4 linked regions of the Rattus norvegicus genome follow. The protein of the gene in region 1 interacts with the protein of each later gene in a biochemical or structural test. Links are inferred from orthologs where the notes say so. Each region holds a gene or a part of one and is shown in the gene's direction. Other genes may lie near its edges. The genes, in order: Ube2e3, Rnf25, Uba1 and Rnf14.

Region 1 (2,697 bases):
AAATTAAGGCTGTGTTTGAGTGTTTTACAGTGTGGCCCATTAGAATCTAAGGTCCTAAAAGTTATCTTTAGAAGCTCTTAAAGTCTAATGTCCAGACTCAGAGCTAACTCAGAGTCAGGTCATGCTAGATCCATTAATTAGACCCTCATTTAGAATGATAAATGTCAGCTTATTACCAACTGCTCAAGTTTTATTCTTTTGTTGTTTTCTGTATAATAAATGTTTAGTAAACCTCATATCTATTTTTATAAATAGTAAAAATTCCACATGCATAGTTTTTCATATTGGAAATTGGTTTTAATACTTTAGAAAATAGGGGAAAAGTTAACAAGATATAGTTGTATGATATAATTCTTGTATGTGAGGAAGAAATAATGTAATTTAAAAGATACTTACATTTCCTTAGCACTATTAGTGGAAGTGGAAATTGTTTAGTAGAAGGGCTTTGAACTATAATCCTGTATATGGCGTGCCATTTTTATTAGTATGTGGCTATTTATAGATTTAGAAGTTTATTTAGAAGTTCCAGTGTGTTACATTTATAACTTTGTAATGTTGCTTCTCTCCTTGTTAAGGCAGATTTTTCCATTCTTAAACCCTATTCCAAAATAAAATATAAATAAAATTTGTGATATTTTGGTAATAAGACTTATTTCTTTCACTTTCTCCTCTCCTTCTCTCAAATATATGTTTTTGTTTTTTGAGACAAGAGTTTTTCTGTGTAGCTCTGGCTGTCCTGGAAAAGACCAGGCTGGCCTCGAACTCACAGAGATCTGTGTGCCACTTCTGCCTGGTCTATAGTGTTTGAGTTCACTTAAGCTGTTGAACTTCCTAAAGAGAAACAAACATTTTGTTATTGGATATTAATTTGTTTATTTACTATTGATAACTAGGAGATTTCAGTATATTGGTTTTATTTGAAATTAATTCCTGTCTTTGATGTAGTCAGCTCAGTCATTTGGACAAACAAGTATTCCATTTTTCTTGAACAACCTTGTCTATTGGAAGCACAAAGTACATGTATAATTTTAAGTTTCCATAGCCACATTGAATAAATAAGCAACTGAATTAATTTTAAATGTATATTTAACCCTATATATCTAGAGTATTACCATTTCAACATGCTGGAAGTAATATTCATAAGAATATTATTAAGTTCTTTTATGGCTTTTTTAGTACTGAGTCTTTGAAACATGGTATATTTCAGATCTCTGTATTCACATATGACTGCTCTGTAGCCCCTTTTAAGCCATGTTAGGTAGTTCGTTAATGTGTTCCTCCTTTTTTCCTGCTTTTCTTTTGCCCCCACCCCCCAAAAAAGCACTTTTGGATATTTTTTCCTGTTCCCAGATTCTTCTTTGAAGCTCACAGTACATTGCAAATTCTAAGATCAGAAAATTCTTTTTTTCAACAAGTCCAAGTGATGAATTTATTTCTCAACTACTTTTTGCATTTGCTTAGAAACATACAAGTATTTATTCCTGAAAAAGAGATGCCAGTTTCTTTGACCCATAACTGAAAACTTTGCTTTTCTATGTCAGTGTCTGTAGGAGAGTGACTAAGAGGAAGGAAGGTAGCACGGATGGTGACTGCAGCCTTGTTCCCAGTCTTTCATTTTATTCTGATGTAGAAAGAGGCTTGGCTGAGTTGGTGATACTCCTTACTTTTACTAGAATCATTCATACTTTCTTCTTACCTTTGATGCCAAAATATTCTCCACTTTCCATGTTCATGTATGTCCACAAATATGTATATGGTATATGGTACATGTGTAAATGCATAATACCATTCTTTAGGTATTCATTATTCACCTATTCACTTTTTTCTTAAGCCATGGTAATACCTGGTATCGTATGTAGTGCATGCCAATAGTCCCAGTACTCAGAAAACAGAGGCAGGAGGATTGCCGTAAGTTTGAAACCAAGGCAGTGTGCACAGCAAGTTCATGCCAGCCAGACCTACATACCTAGAGACCTGTGTCAAAAACAAAATTACAATAACAAAAATAAATGAGCTAAAAATAGTTTTCTAAGTCAAAATAAAACCAAAAATCAATACTTTTAACTAAAATAAAACTATTTAACTTTTAAAATATTTTAAAAATAGTCTTAAAGAAAACTAGCTGTTGTCTGATCCAATGTAAGAATAGTGCTGGTTAGTAATTTGCTGTTGGTATCATCTGTAATGTGTTGCTGTTGGGATGAACTGGTGATAGACTTGTTTGCTTCCTGTTTGTGCTGTGCTGTGTAGGTTACCTTCCGCACCAGAATCTACCACTGCAACATCAACAGTCAGGGAGTCATCTGCCTGGATATTCTGAAAGACAACTGGAGTCCCGCTTTGACTATTTCAAAGGTTTTGCTCTCTATTTGTTCCCTTTTGACAGATTGCAACCCTGGTAAGCAAATCTTTATGAATCTACAAATAAAATGTTTGTTTAATGTTGGTCAAGACATAAATTTTATCATTAGGAAGATCAGCCTCAGAAATAAGCAGTGTCCACTAAGAGACTAGGTATTAAAGAATGAGACAACTCAGAACTCACAGGGAGACAGTTGTCAATAGTATGTCAAGATACGGGGATCTGTAAGGATGTATACACACTGTAGTAATGTTAAGTTGTAAATATAAGACATACATACATTATCTGAAAACCAGGGTTAACAGTTGTGTGCCAGGGCTTGGATCCTGAATTTT
Region 2 (2,611 bases), on another chromosome or scaffold:
CTGACACATTGCATGAAGCCTTGCATTTCCAGACCTCTCCCTAGGCAGCCCTTTTCTCCTCTGTTCTACCTCATTGCTAAGCAGCTAACGCTTATGCCCTTTGGTCCCAGCCCTCGGGCTGGCTGACAGGGAGCAGGATGTGATTTCTCCTCTTGTTTTAGAAGGCAGTCGGTGTGCAGTGTCCTGTGTGCAGGGAGCCCCTTGTGTATGATCTTGCCTCGCTGAAAGCAGCCCCTGAACCCCAACAACCCATGGTAAGGGTTTTCCTTCTGCTCTAAGCCAGGCATTCTCTAAGGAGAGAGAAGTGGCATCTTGTCTCTGCTGAATTCTCTGTGGAGTTGGGTTTGACTTGCTTAAGAGTACTCTGCAAAGCCACAGCCCCCACCAGGAGTCTAAGGCTTCAGAAGCCCAACTCTGAGGAACAAAACCAAGAACTGAGTATTGGGAATATGGCTCATTTGGAAGTGCACTTACCTAGCACACAGAAAGCCTTAGGTTTGATCCCCAGCAGTGCACTAAAAAACCTGGTATATGGTGGTGTACTCACAATCATGGCACTCAGGACGGATAAACAGTTCAAGGTCATGCTTGGCCATACAGTGAGTTTGAGACCATTCTGAGCTATATGAACCTCTTGTCTAAAACAAAACAAAAAACCAGGAACCTGGGCTGGAGAGATGGCTCAGCGGTTAAGAGCACCTGACTGCTCTTCCAGAGGTCCTGGGTTCAATTCCCAGCAACCACATGGTGGCTCACAACCATCTGTAAAGAGATCTGATGCCCTCTTCTGGTGTGTCTGAAGACAGCTACAGTGTACTTATATATAATAAATGAATAAATCTTTAAAAAAAAAAAAAAAACAGGAACCTTGTGCAGCTCCCTAGGACAATCCTAGAAGAGTTAGGGTTCAAGTCATCTGTCTGCTTTCTCATTTTGTTTCTTTTCCTCCTGCCCTTTTGCTTCCTTTCCTGTAAGGAGTTATACCAACCCAGTGCAGAGAGCTTGCGCCAACAGGAAGAACTCAAACGGCTGTATCAGAGGCAACAGGAAAAGGGTGGCATCATTGACCTGGAGGCTGAACGGAACCGATACTTCATTAGCCTTCAGCAGGTGAGGAAAGGCTCCCCCTTGGCCTCAGATGTCTCCAGAGTTCTTAGGAATGCCATGGCCCTAGGGTGTGCTTTCTTCTGCTAGCAAGGTTGTGGTTGATGATGGTTGCTGATAGTGGAGAGGGGTCCCCCTTGATGCATCACCTCTGCCTCTCTTCTCTCCAGCCTCCTGCTGCTCTTGAACCTGAGTCAGTAGTAGATGTCTCAAGAGGACCCCAACCACCTAATACCCTTTCTGCAGAACAATCTACTTCCCTAGCTGCCCAATCAACTCTGCCAACTCCTTTACCCATGGCTACCCAGTATGTTTATGAGAAGACTTCGGGGGCTGGGCCAAATCAACAGAGGCTGGGTGAGACCCAGAAATCCATGCTAGATCCTCCACGACCTGGTCGTGGCTCCTGGCGACAGTATGATCGGAGGCACCCAAAAGGCGGGGAGTGCTGCGCCCCAAAAGGTACCAGTGAAATCCAAGAACTGCCACCTCCTGAGAAGCCTCTCAAGGAGACTGTGGACTTAAAGGCAGAACCCCGTAACAAAGGCCTCACAGGTCATCCTCAGGAGAAGGGACCTGGTAGCTGGCAGGGCCCCTCAGCTCGCAGGACTCGGGACTGTGCTCGCTGGGAACGCTCCAAAAACCGTACACCTGGTTCTTCCTATCCCCATCTACCTCGGGGCCAGGGAGCATACCGGTCTGGTACTCGCAGGGAGCCCCTGGGCTTGGAATCTGAGGAAGGTTCCTAGCAGTACTGTTGGGGGACAGGGAACTGGGGTGGGAGGGAGGCAATAAAGAGATTTGACCTTTGCTTAACAGCAGCTAGCTTATGTGGTATGACTCTTTATGATAGGGGCTCCCACCTTTCTTGTAAGGCTGTCCACCAGAGACACTAGGGTAAAAGGGTCTTCCCTGCCAGTGTGGTCAGGTTTGAAAAGACATTTGTGCAGAATACTTAAGAAGTAACACAGCAAATAATTCCATCCATTCCCACATTTGCACACATGCATTGTTCAGCTGACTGGCTGGTGGTTTTGAGATAAGGTACCATGTAGCCCAGACTAGCCTCAAGCTTTATATAGTTGAAGAACTCCAGATCTTTCTGTCTCTATCTCCTGAGTGGTAGGATTCCAGGCCATTGCCATCATGGCCAGTTTGTGCACACCAGGCAAGCATTCTACCAGCTGAGCTCCATCCCAAGTACTTCTGTTGTTTTAAGGGGAAAGTCTCACTGTGGTGTTAGGTTGGTCTTAGGATTTTTTTTTTTTTTTTTTTTTTTTTTTTGGTTCTTTTTTTTCGGAGCTGGGGACCGAACCCAGGGCCTTGTGCTTCCTAGGTAAGCGCTCTACCACTGAGCTAAATCCTCAGCCCCAGGATTTTTTTTTTAAAGAATTATTTATTTTATGTATAGGAGTATGCCATCACTGTCTTCAGACACACCAGAAGAGGGCATCAGATCCCATTCCAGATGGCTGTGAGCCACCATGTGGTTGCTGGGAATTGAACT
Region 3 (4,667 bases), on another chromosome or scaffold:
TCTGTTCTTTCTTCCCGCTCTGTGTGTGTCTACTTCTGTCTCTTTCTCTAGGGTCTGTTTTCCCTCAGACTTGCCAGGTACTAGTGCTCCTTTTGCATCAGCCTGCCAAGTACTGTGGGATTACAGGAGCTGTGCTAGCGCACACCAACAAACCCCGTCTTTTAAGAAAATAGTGCTGCTACCGCTCAGGCTAATTATACAGTACTATGTGCCAGGCACTATTTCTAAACCCTTTCTACACATTTACTCAATCACAAGGTAAGTTCTTGTTCTCAAATCTCATTTTCTGATCTGGAAACAATCAAGTTGATAAGTTCTGTAATAGCTGGATATACCCTCAAACTTAAGTAATTTTAGATTAATGCAAATATTACCTTTAGTTGCATATATTTGAACATTGTAACAGGGCCTTGTGGCAGCACTGCTCTAGGGCCCTTCTGTATTCATTCTCATAACACATTTCATCAGTCTTGGTTGGGTTTTTTTGAGGTGGGGATTGCTGTGGTTTTTTTGTTTGTTTGTTTTTTATGATACTATGGATTGAACCGAGGGTGTTGAAGTGCTTTATCCGTAGTCTACACCTCCAACCGAGGTGGATTAGTTTCATTACTATCATTGCCTTCAAAGGCATGTAGTGAGTCTGTATTTAGCTAAGACAAGATAAGCCCCCAAGTGGTCAAGGACTGTGCTCACTCTGGCTTTGCAGGGTTATCCTTTATATCCTTATGACAAATGCCTTGACTATTGTCTCATAATTTCCGCTTGTTGGGTAGGGCCACCTTGGATGGGAAGCTGCCCATCAAGCCTCATGAATAATTCATGAACTGGATGGGATTGGTACTTTTTTTTTTTTGAGACAGGGTTTCCTGTTAACCTCAAACTAATGAGCCTTCTGCCTCCACTTTCCCAGTGCTGAGAGAAAAGTCCTGTGGCACCATGCATGTAAGCACAGCCTGTGCACTACCTTTCTTTTTGTGTCCCCACCCACCTCCACCACCTCGAGACTGGGTAGCTCTGGTTGTCCTGGAACTCCCTCTGTAGACCAGACAGGCCCCAAACTCAGAGATCCTCCTGCTTCTGCCCTGACTGCTGGGATTAAAGGTGTATACCACCACACCCAGTAGGTATAACCTTTCTTGACCTCTCTGTTTTCACATTGAGCTGGCTCCAGCAGCTTCCTTTAGTATTTAGGAGGCAGAGGAGTGCTTTTTTTTCCTGCAGTGACCCTGTTTCTTGCTTACTGGGTATTAGATGGAGCAATAAGGCAGGCTTGCTTCTTTTGTTCTATCCCACTGAGTCTCGTGCATTATTCATGAATAAGATGTAGCTTTGGTCTCCTTGATTCCCGCAGCTGCAAGATCATTCATTATTCATGAGCATTGGGTGTGGTTGGCATGCTTTAACATCTTCTTTCTGGTTGCCTAGTCTTAGTAAACCCATCACCTTGCTTCATAATTCACGATTAGGAAGAATGGCTTTGAGGTCCTTCCTTGATTTCTTTGACAGCTTAGCTGTAGTAATTCTTTATTCCTATTTCATGGGGCATGGCCTCATGCTCTACCTGTTTTTCTAGTTACTGCCTCCACAGCCACTTGGTGGAGCTGTTTTCCTTCTAGTTAAAGAAGTCCCAACCTGGGCAGGGAAAATACATGATTCATGAGTGGGCGCGGTCCTCTTGCATCCGGGTTTCTGGGGGTGGGGCTCAGGGTTTTGTTCCGGCCTTGGGCTCTGCCGCCGCCATCTTGTGTCGGCTGCTGGGGTGAAGGAGGGTGTCAAGGAAGACCACAACCACCGCGGTCGGGGGAGGAGAAGGCGACAGTGATCCTAGCTGGCCCAGGCGGCAGGGAGGAGAAGGAGAAAGAGGAGGGTGGCGGCCGAGCTTGACTTCGGCTCCTTGAGGAGTTGGCGGCGGCACGACCCGGGGAACCGGCATTGGTAATAGCTTTTCTCTGCACCTGGCTCGAAGCGCAAGGGCTCAGGGAGGTATGGGAGGGTCCCTGCTGGTTCTTTGCCAGCCCGATGTCTGAGTGCACTGCGGTGACCTGGGTATTAGGAATCACTAGACAAGTGGGTGTGGGGGTGTGCAAATCCTGGGGCGGGATGGATCATTTTTGTCTAGGACCACCCTATTCCCTTGGGCTCCGAAATCTGACCTTGACATCATACCCTTATCTCTGCTTCTGGAGGCTTCGGGTGTAGCACTATAACAAGATATCTTGATCCAATCCTGAGCCATGCATTTCCTATCAGAACTCCGAGCACAGTCTCCCATAAAGGCACCGGAATTCGGCGTCGCTGCTCAGGAAAGCCGTCCATACTTGTGTGCTATTTGAAGACCTGCCCCGAAATCTCCCTTGAGACTCTTCCTAGCCCTTCAGTATTTGCCCTCATGGCTTAAGAGGGGCCAGACTTCAGGAAAGGTCCGTGTGGCCTTCATCTCCGAAAGAAGAGCCTTGCCTAGCATTTTCATCCAGAGTTTCCCCCTCCCCCTCTCAGGATACTATCTGTCCTTAGAGCTGCCATCTGGATTAAACCCGGTGAAAAGCTCTGTGCCTGGCCTTTCCGCGGGAAACCCATTCCTACATTTGAGATATCCGAATACCACTTTGACATAGCATCCTCCAACATGGACGCCTGGCATTCTTAGACTCTTTTCAGCATCTACCTTTAGAGACTCTCCCTGCTTTTAGGGACTCCCCCCTTTTTCATGCTCTCATTGTTCTCAAAGCATCGTCTTCTCCATCAGCCATTCTTAACCTCCAGTATATTTCCTTTCTTCTCTCAGGGGACTAGACACGGGGGAGGACCTGTTTGGACATAGTTCTCCATTAGTGATCTCTTGCCACCATCTACTCTTTCAGACTCTTTATTTGTAGCCCCATCTGCCAGATGGTCTCATCCTAGACCCAAATTTTGCCTTCAAAGGCAGACCAGCATTCTAGTTTCTCTTTTTATAAATCCCTTAATCTACCAACAGGCCTCAGAATCTACCCTCATTCTTTTTAAAGGTTCCTAGTATTCAGAGACTCTTAGCATTTGCTTTTGACTTCACTCCCCTTCTCCCCAGCAGGCCCATTTATCTTCCACAGGAGTAGAAAACCTCAGTATCTATTTACTATGGAGTCACAGAATTGATTAGAGAAACCTAACTCTATTTGGAGATCTAGCCAATATTTGCTTGGTAACCTATTATCATCATTATTACAGAGTTTCACTGCCTCTGTCTGCCTCACTAGTGCTGGACTCAAAGGTGTATACCACCATGATTAGCTCTTTGTAACCTTTTTAAGGCTTGAACTGTCTGAAATTCATCTTCCCTTCACCCTATCAGCAGCTGTGGTACCTGTTTAGATCCACACAAGGCCTTTGTTGCTCCATTAGAAATCCCTCTCCAAGAGTCTGCCCTCAGAGACCTCTCTTAGCCTCTTAGCACTTAATCTCGTAGCTTCTTGTCACTACAGTGTCAACATCAAAGTCATTTTTCTGTGCATTCCCACTACTTTTGGTTGAAGGGTTTCTGTCACTAGAATCTAAGCCTGTCAGCCCCAGAATCTTCCTGTAGTAGTCTCAGGGTCTACATTCTCTCACCTCTTTCTAGAAATCCAGGTTTGAGTCTTTAATACCTCTGTCCAACACCCCCACCATTTATAAGGCGTCTTTTATTATCTCCTTCACAGCTCTTTGAGCTCAGTCACTTCCTCTGATGCCTTTCTTACACTCCTCAAGACTTCTCATTTAAAATCTCTCAGGAAGCTTGACAAGCCTCAGCATCTTCCCCTGTACAATATCTGTCAGCTGGCTCTGCTTCCTAAGCCTACCCAGATTCCCCTGCTCAGTCTTGCTCTAGAATATTCTCAGGCTTCAGTCATCAGTTTGGAGACCCCAGATAAGTTTGAAATGCTTTAATTTCAGCTTTGCCAAGTAGGTTTTAGAAAATAAATTCTAACAAAGAAGGCTGAGCACATGTTGAGAGAGAATGAATGGAGATTGGTTTTATTTTGTTTTTTATTGTTGGGGTTTTTTTGTATTTTGCTTTTTGGTTTTATTTTTGGATGGGAGTAGGGGAATCTCTAGCTCTTGTCCCAGAATCTCTGTCCCAAATTCTTCTGCTTGCCTTGATAAAGGGGCTTTCCAAAACCTGACATTTGAAATCTCCCTTCCTATATTCTTTTTTGAAATAGAGTCTCACTGCATAATTCAGACTGGCCTCAGACTTAAGAGTCTTCCTGGCTCTGCCTCCTAAGTGTTGTGGTTGTGGGCTTGTACTGCCACACCTGGCTTTGAAGTCTACTTTTGAACAGTGATCCCAAACCTGCTTACTTAGAGCCTTGCTGCCAGCACTGGGTGGGGGTGGAAAGGTTAAGGTCTGATAAAGAGCTCTCTGCTCTGGATTTTGTCTGATGTGGGGAGTAGAGAAAGAATATGCCTGGAACAAACCACCCAATGACAAGGGAAAGGAGATAACTAAGTAATGGAGGCCCTTGTGGGTGCCTTGGGAGGAGCCTCTCTCCTCAGGTCCTTGAATTTTGACCACAGATAGCCTCTTTAGCTTCATCAGGAGGACAGTTCCTTATCTCTCCATTTTTTTGGAGAAAATGGGCTTAGAGGAAATAAGATCTGCATGCCAAGTCACTGCCAGTAAATGCAAAATAGGAATTACCTCTGTC
Region 4 (3,711 bases), on another chromosome or scaffold:
CGTATGATTGTTTGCCCATGTTTGTCTGAGTACCCTGTGCATGCCTGGTTCCTGCAGAGGCCAGAAGGCAACTTTGGATTTTCTGGAACTGGAGTTACAAATGGTTGTGAGCCCCCATGTGGGTGGTGAGAATTAAACCTGGGTCCCCTGGAAGAGCAGGGAGTGCTCTTATTCAAGGAGCCATCTCTCCAGCCCCAATTGGTATTTGTAAAACAGTCTGATCTGGGGCTGGGGACACACCTCAGTTGGTAGAGTGCTGGCCTGGAGGTCAGGAAGCCCTGGGTTTGGTCTCCAGTACAACAAACTAGACATACATGACAAAAGTCAAATAGTCCCCTTCACTCTTTGTAGAATGGATACCAAGAGTCCTTGATTTGGGAGGTGGGGGCAGGAAAATCAGAGGTTTAAAGTCACCTGTAGCTGTGTAGCAAGTTCAAGGCCAACATAGATTCATGAGATTTTAAAATCTGTAAAACATGGCCTTCCATTTGGTTTTATTTTTCTCATCGTGTACATTGTTTTTACTGAAACTGATGGTAATTCGTAATTCCTTAGAGCGTCATTAAGGAGAGCTGTGTCATGTTTGTCACTTCTGACATGCTTGAGCCCCGTGGTAGTATAAAATATGCCTCTGCTTATGCCACTAGTTTTGATTGGTGTAGAAATTTAGAACTCAGGCCCAGCCTGTAGTCCCAGCCATTTGGGAAGCTGAAGCAAGAGGATTGCCAGTGAACAACTTAGACCCAGTCTTAAAAGTGAATAGTAGAAAAGGAAAGGGATATAGCTTATGGTAGAATGCTTGCCTGGCATGTGTCTATCTCTGGTGCTGAAAATAAAGTAACGTTTTAATTAATCTGCTTATGTGTTCCTCTCCTATGTGTCACTTGTGTCTATTTACAAGAGAGATTTTGCCAAGTATGTAGTTATAGGAAGACCTGCTCGATATTTCTGTATTTTACCTGCAATGCAAAGTTGTAAGCGTAAGTGGCTGTCACTGTTGCCTGTGCAGCAGTCCTCCTTGAGAAAGGACAAAAAACCAGGGGAAGTGCACTGTGTGTTTTCCGGCACATGTATTCTGCTTTTACCACCATGATACTGTTCTTGTCTCTCCTTCCCACCAGAAATTAGACGGCTGCAACAAGATGACCTGTACTGGCTGTATGCAGTATTTCTGCTGGGTTTGCATGGGCTCTCTCTCAAGAGCAAACCCTTACAAACATTTCACTGATCCTGATTCTCCATGCTTTAACAGGTTTGTACACATAGGGTTCCTTAAGACTTAGCAGGTAAAAAAACTCAGGTGTGCCTGCATGAGGACATGTATATGCACAGGTGTACCCTGGATAGGCAGAGACCCAAGAGGGTTTCTGTCAGAGTTGAAGCTAGAAGTACAGATTGTTTGCAGGATGCCTGTTTTGTCACATGAGAACTGGGATCCGAACTCCTGTCCTCATGAATGAACAGCATTCTTGACCACTGAACCATCTTCCTAGCCCATCCGGAATGTTTTGATGCCAGTATGCAGGCTGGTTTATTTTCTGAATACCAGTTTTTTTTTTTTTTTTTCTAAAGTAGCTAGACTTGGAGAACTTTTTTCCCACATGTGATTTTTAAGTCTTCTTGAAAATGGGTAAAATTTTATTTTTTACTTTTTATCCTCACCTTAAAAAAAATTATACTTAGCTGGGCAGTAGTGGACACTCCTTTAATCCCAGTACTTGGAAAGGCCAAAGCAGGCAGATTGCTGAATTCAAGGCTAACCGGGTCTATAGAGTGAGTTCCAAGACAGCCAGGCTGTAAAGAGGAACCTTGCCTGGGAGGGTGGAGGGGATATGTTTATGGGTGTTTTGCTTGCATGTGCGTCTTATATTACATGTATGCCTGGTGCTCACAGAGTATGGAAAAGCATGTTGTGTCCCTTGGTACTGAAGTTAAAGATAGTTGTGAAGCCACTATTTACGTAGTGCTAGGAATCAAACCCAGGACTTCTGGAAGAGTAGCTGTGCTCTTAACAGTTGTACCATCTCTCCACCCCTACACCTACCCGTCATTTTTAATGACAAAGCATATGTGATATAGGCTGGTCTAGGATTTTAAAACTGTTTTAAATTATTTGTGTGGGAGGGTTTGGGTGTTGGCGTGTTGGTGTTGGTGCACGTGTGAGGTCAGGACAGCTTTCAGTACTTGTTACCTGCTTCTGCCACCTTCCCCTGGGAATCTAACTCAGGGCAGGCACCTCTGTCTGATGGGCCCTGGGGCTCGCCCTGGCTTGGAAGTCTCAGTACTCCTTTTTTTGTTTGTTTGTTTTTTGTTTGCTTGTTTTTCAAGACAAGGTTTCTCAGTGTAGCCTCATGTGTCCTGAAACTTATTCCGTAGTCCAGGCTAGCCTCGAACTCAGAGATCTGCCTGCCTTTACTCCACACTGAGCTTAGTTCTCCTTTTATGGTAAAAGTTTTCTAGCGTGTAGAAAGGTTGAGAGACTATAGCTGTGACTGGTGTGAGTAAACAGTGAACAGTACACTGACTTACTCTCTCTACTGTCTCAGAGAGGCATTGCTAAACTGCTTGAGGGTGAATTATGGCAATGCTTCCACTCTGTTACTTCATTATATATCCTAAATTTAGAAAATGCCTGTAAGACTGAGGGTGTAGTTCAATGCTTAGCATGTGTAGGAGCTTTGAGTTTAATCCCCTTCCCACACCCAGCTCCCCAAAACCAGAATGTTTCTATGCAATGATAGTACTTTAAAAGTGAATGGTGGCCAGGCATGGTGGTGCCCACCTTTAATTGTAACTTTCAGGAGGCAGAAACAGGAGGAGGATCTCTGAGTTTGAAGCTGGCCTGGTCTACATAGTGAGTTCCAGGACAGCCAGTGCGTCATAGAGAGACCTTTTCTCTTTTCTTTTTTCTTTTTTCTTTTTTTTTTTTTTTTTTCGGAGCTGGGGACCGAACCCAGGGCCTTCCGCTTGCTAGGCAAGCGCTCTACCACTGAGCTAAATCCCCAACCAGAGAGACCTTTTCTCAAAATAAATAACTAAGTGTGATATATACTATCTTGTTTTGATATATATCAAAACATATTTAAGACTTCCATTCATCGGGATAGCAAGATGGCTCAGCAGGTAAAGGCACTTGCTGCTCATGATCTGATGACCTGAGTTAGAGCCCTAGAACCAATATGAAGGTAGTTTAAATATCCTCTGACCTCTACATGTGCACCTCCAACTGCACAGCACATACTAATCTTAAAAACAACACACCTTCCTCTTAGCATTCAGAATATCTATTACCGTCAGTTAAGGAGCCAGGATCTAGTCAGCTTCAGTCTGGTTGTTTTTCTTTTTCTTTTTTCTCTTTTTTCTTTTTTTAAATCATTTCTTTACTTTATGTATAGGAGTACACTGTAGCTGTCTTCAGACACACCAGAAGAGGGCATCAGATCCCATTACAGATGGTTGTGAGCCACCATGTGGTTTCTGGGATTTGAACTCAGGACCTCTGGAAGAGCAGTCAGTGCTCTTAACCACTGGGCCGTCTCTCCAGTCCCTGTTTTTCTTAATATAATGTTTGGACTACTTACTTGTCAAGGAAAAACTGACTCTTTAAAAACTCTAAGCCAGCTTGTAGTGTTAGGTGACATTTCTAGAGTTTTGTCTCCATGACATCATTAGCTTTCTTCTCTGTCTTCTCTTTGCTGACACTGGAAGCCA

What was found.
Region 2: the proteins of Ube2e3 (region 1) and Rnf25 form a complex in vitro, tested with the Homo sapiens proteins (2 studies listed by BioGRID, with this or other methods). The link is inferred for Rattus norvegicus from reciprocal best matches to the Homo sapiens genes UBE2E3 and RNF25.
Region 3: of the proteins of Ube2e3 (region 1) and Uba1, one has a biochemical effect on the other in vitro, tested with the Homo sapiens proteins (3 studies listed by BioGRID, with this or other methods). The link is inferred for Rattus norvegicus from reciprocal best matches to the Homo sapiens genes UBE2E3 and UBA1.
Region 4: the proteins of Ube2e3 (region 1) and Rnf14 form a complex in vitro, tested with the Homo sapiens proteins (2 studies listed by BioGRID). The link is inferred for Rattus norvegicus from reciprocal best matches to the Homo sapiens genes UBE2E3 and RNF14.

The regions. Positions count from the first base shown.
Region 1 is NC_086021.1:84,245,889-84,248,585, forward strand, and holds part of Ube2e3 (ubiquitin-conjugating enzyme E2 E3), read left to right. Parts: intron 1-2,250; coding exon 2,251-2,398; intron 2,399-2,697. UniProt on the Homo sapiens protein: Accepts ubiquitin from the E1 complex and catalyzes its covalent attachment to other proteins. In vitro catalyzes 'Lys-11'- and 'Lys-48'-, as well as 'Lys-63'-linked polyubiquitination.
Region 2 is NC_086027.1:83,618,466-83,621,076, reverse strand, and holds the end of Rnf25 (E3 ubiquitin-protein ligase RNF25), read left to right. Parts: intron 1-161; coding exon 162-254; intron 255-975; coding exon 976-1,110; intron 1,111-1,274; coding exon 1,275-1,853; 3' UTR 1,854-1,929; downstream 1,930-2,611. UniProt on the Homo sapiens protein: E3 ubiquitin-protein ligase that plays a key role in the RNF14-RNF25 translation quality control pathway, a pathway that takes place when a ribosome has stalled during translation, and which promotes ubiquitination and degradation of translation factors on stalled ribosomes.
Region 3 is NC_086039.1:4,077,783-4,082,449, reverse strand, and holds the start of Uba1 (ubiquitin-like modifier-activating enzyme 1), read left to right. Parts: upstream 1-1,760; 5' UTR 1,761-1,935; intron 1,936-4,667. UniProt on the Homo sapiens protein: Catalyzes the first step in ubiquitin conjugation to mark cellular proteins for degradation through the ubiquitin-proteasome system.
Region 4 is NC_086036.1:30,400,565-30,404,275, forward strand, and holds part of Rnf14 (E3 ubiquitin-protein ligase RNF14), read left to right. Parts: intron 1-1,121; coding exon 1,122-1,252; intron 1,253-3,711. UniProt on the Homo sapiens protein: E3 ubiquitin-protein ligase that plays a key role in the RNF14-RNF25 translation quality control pathway, a pathway that takes place when a ribosome has stalled during translation, and which promotes ubiquitination and degradation of translation factors on stalled ribosomes.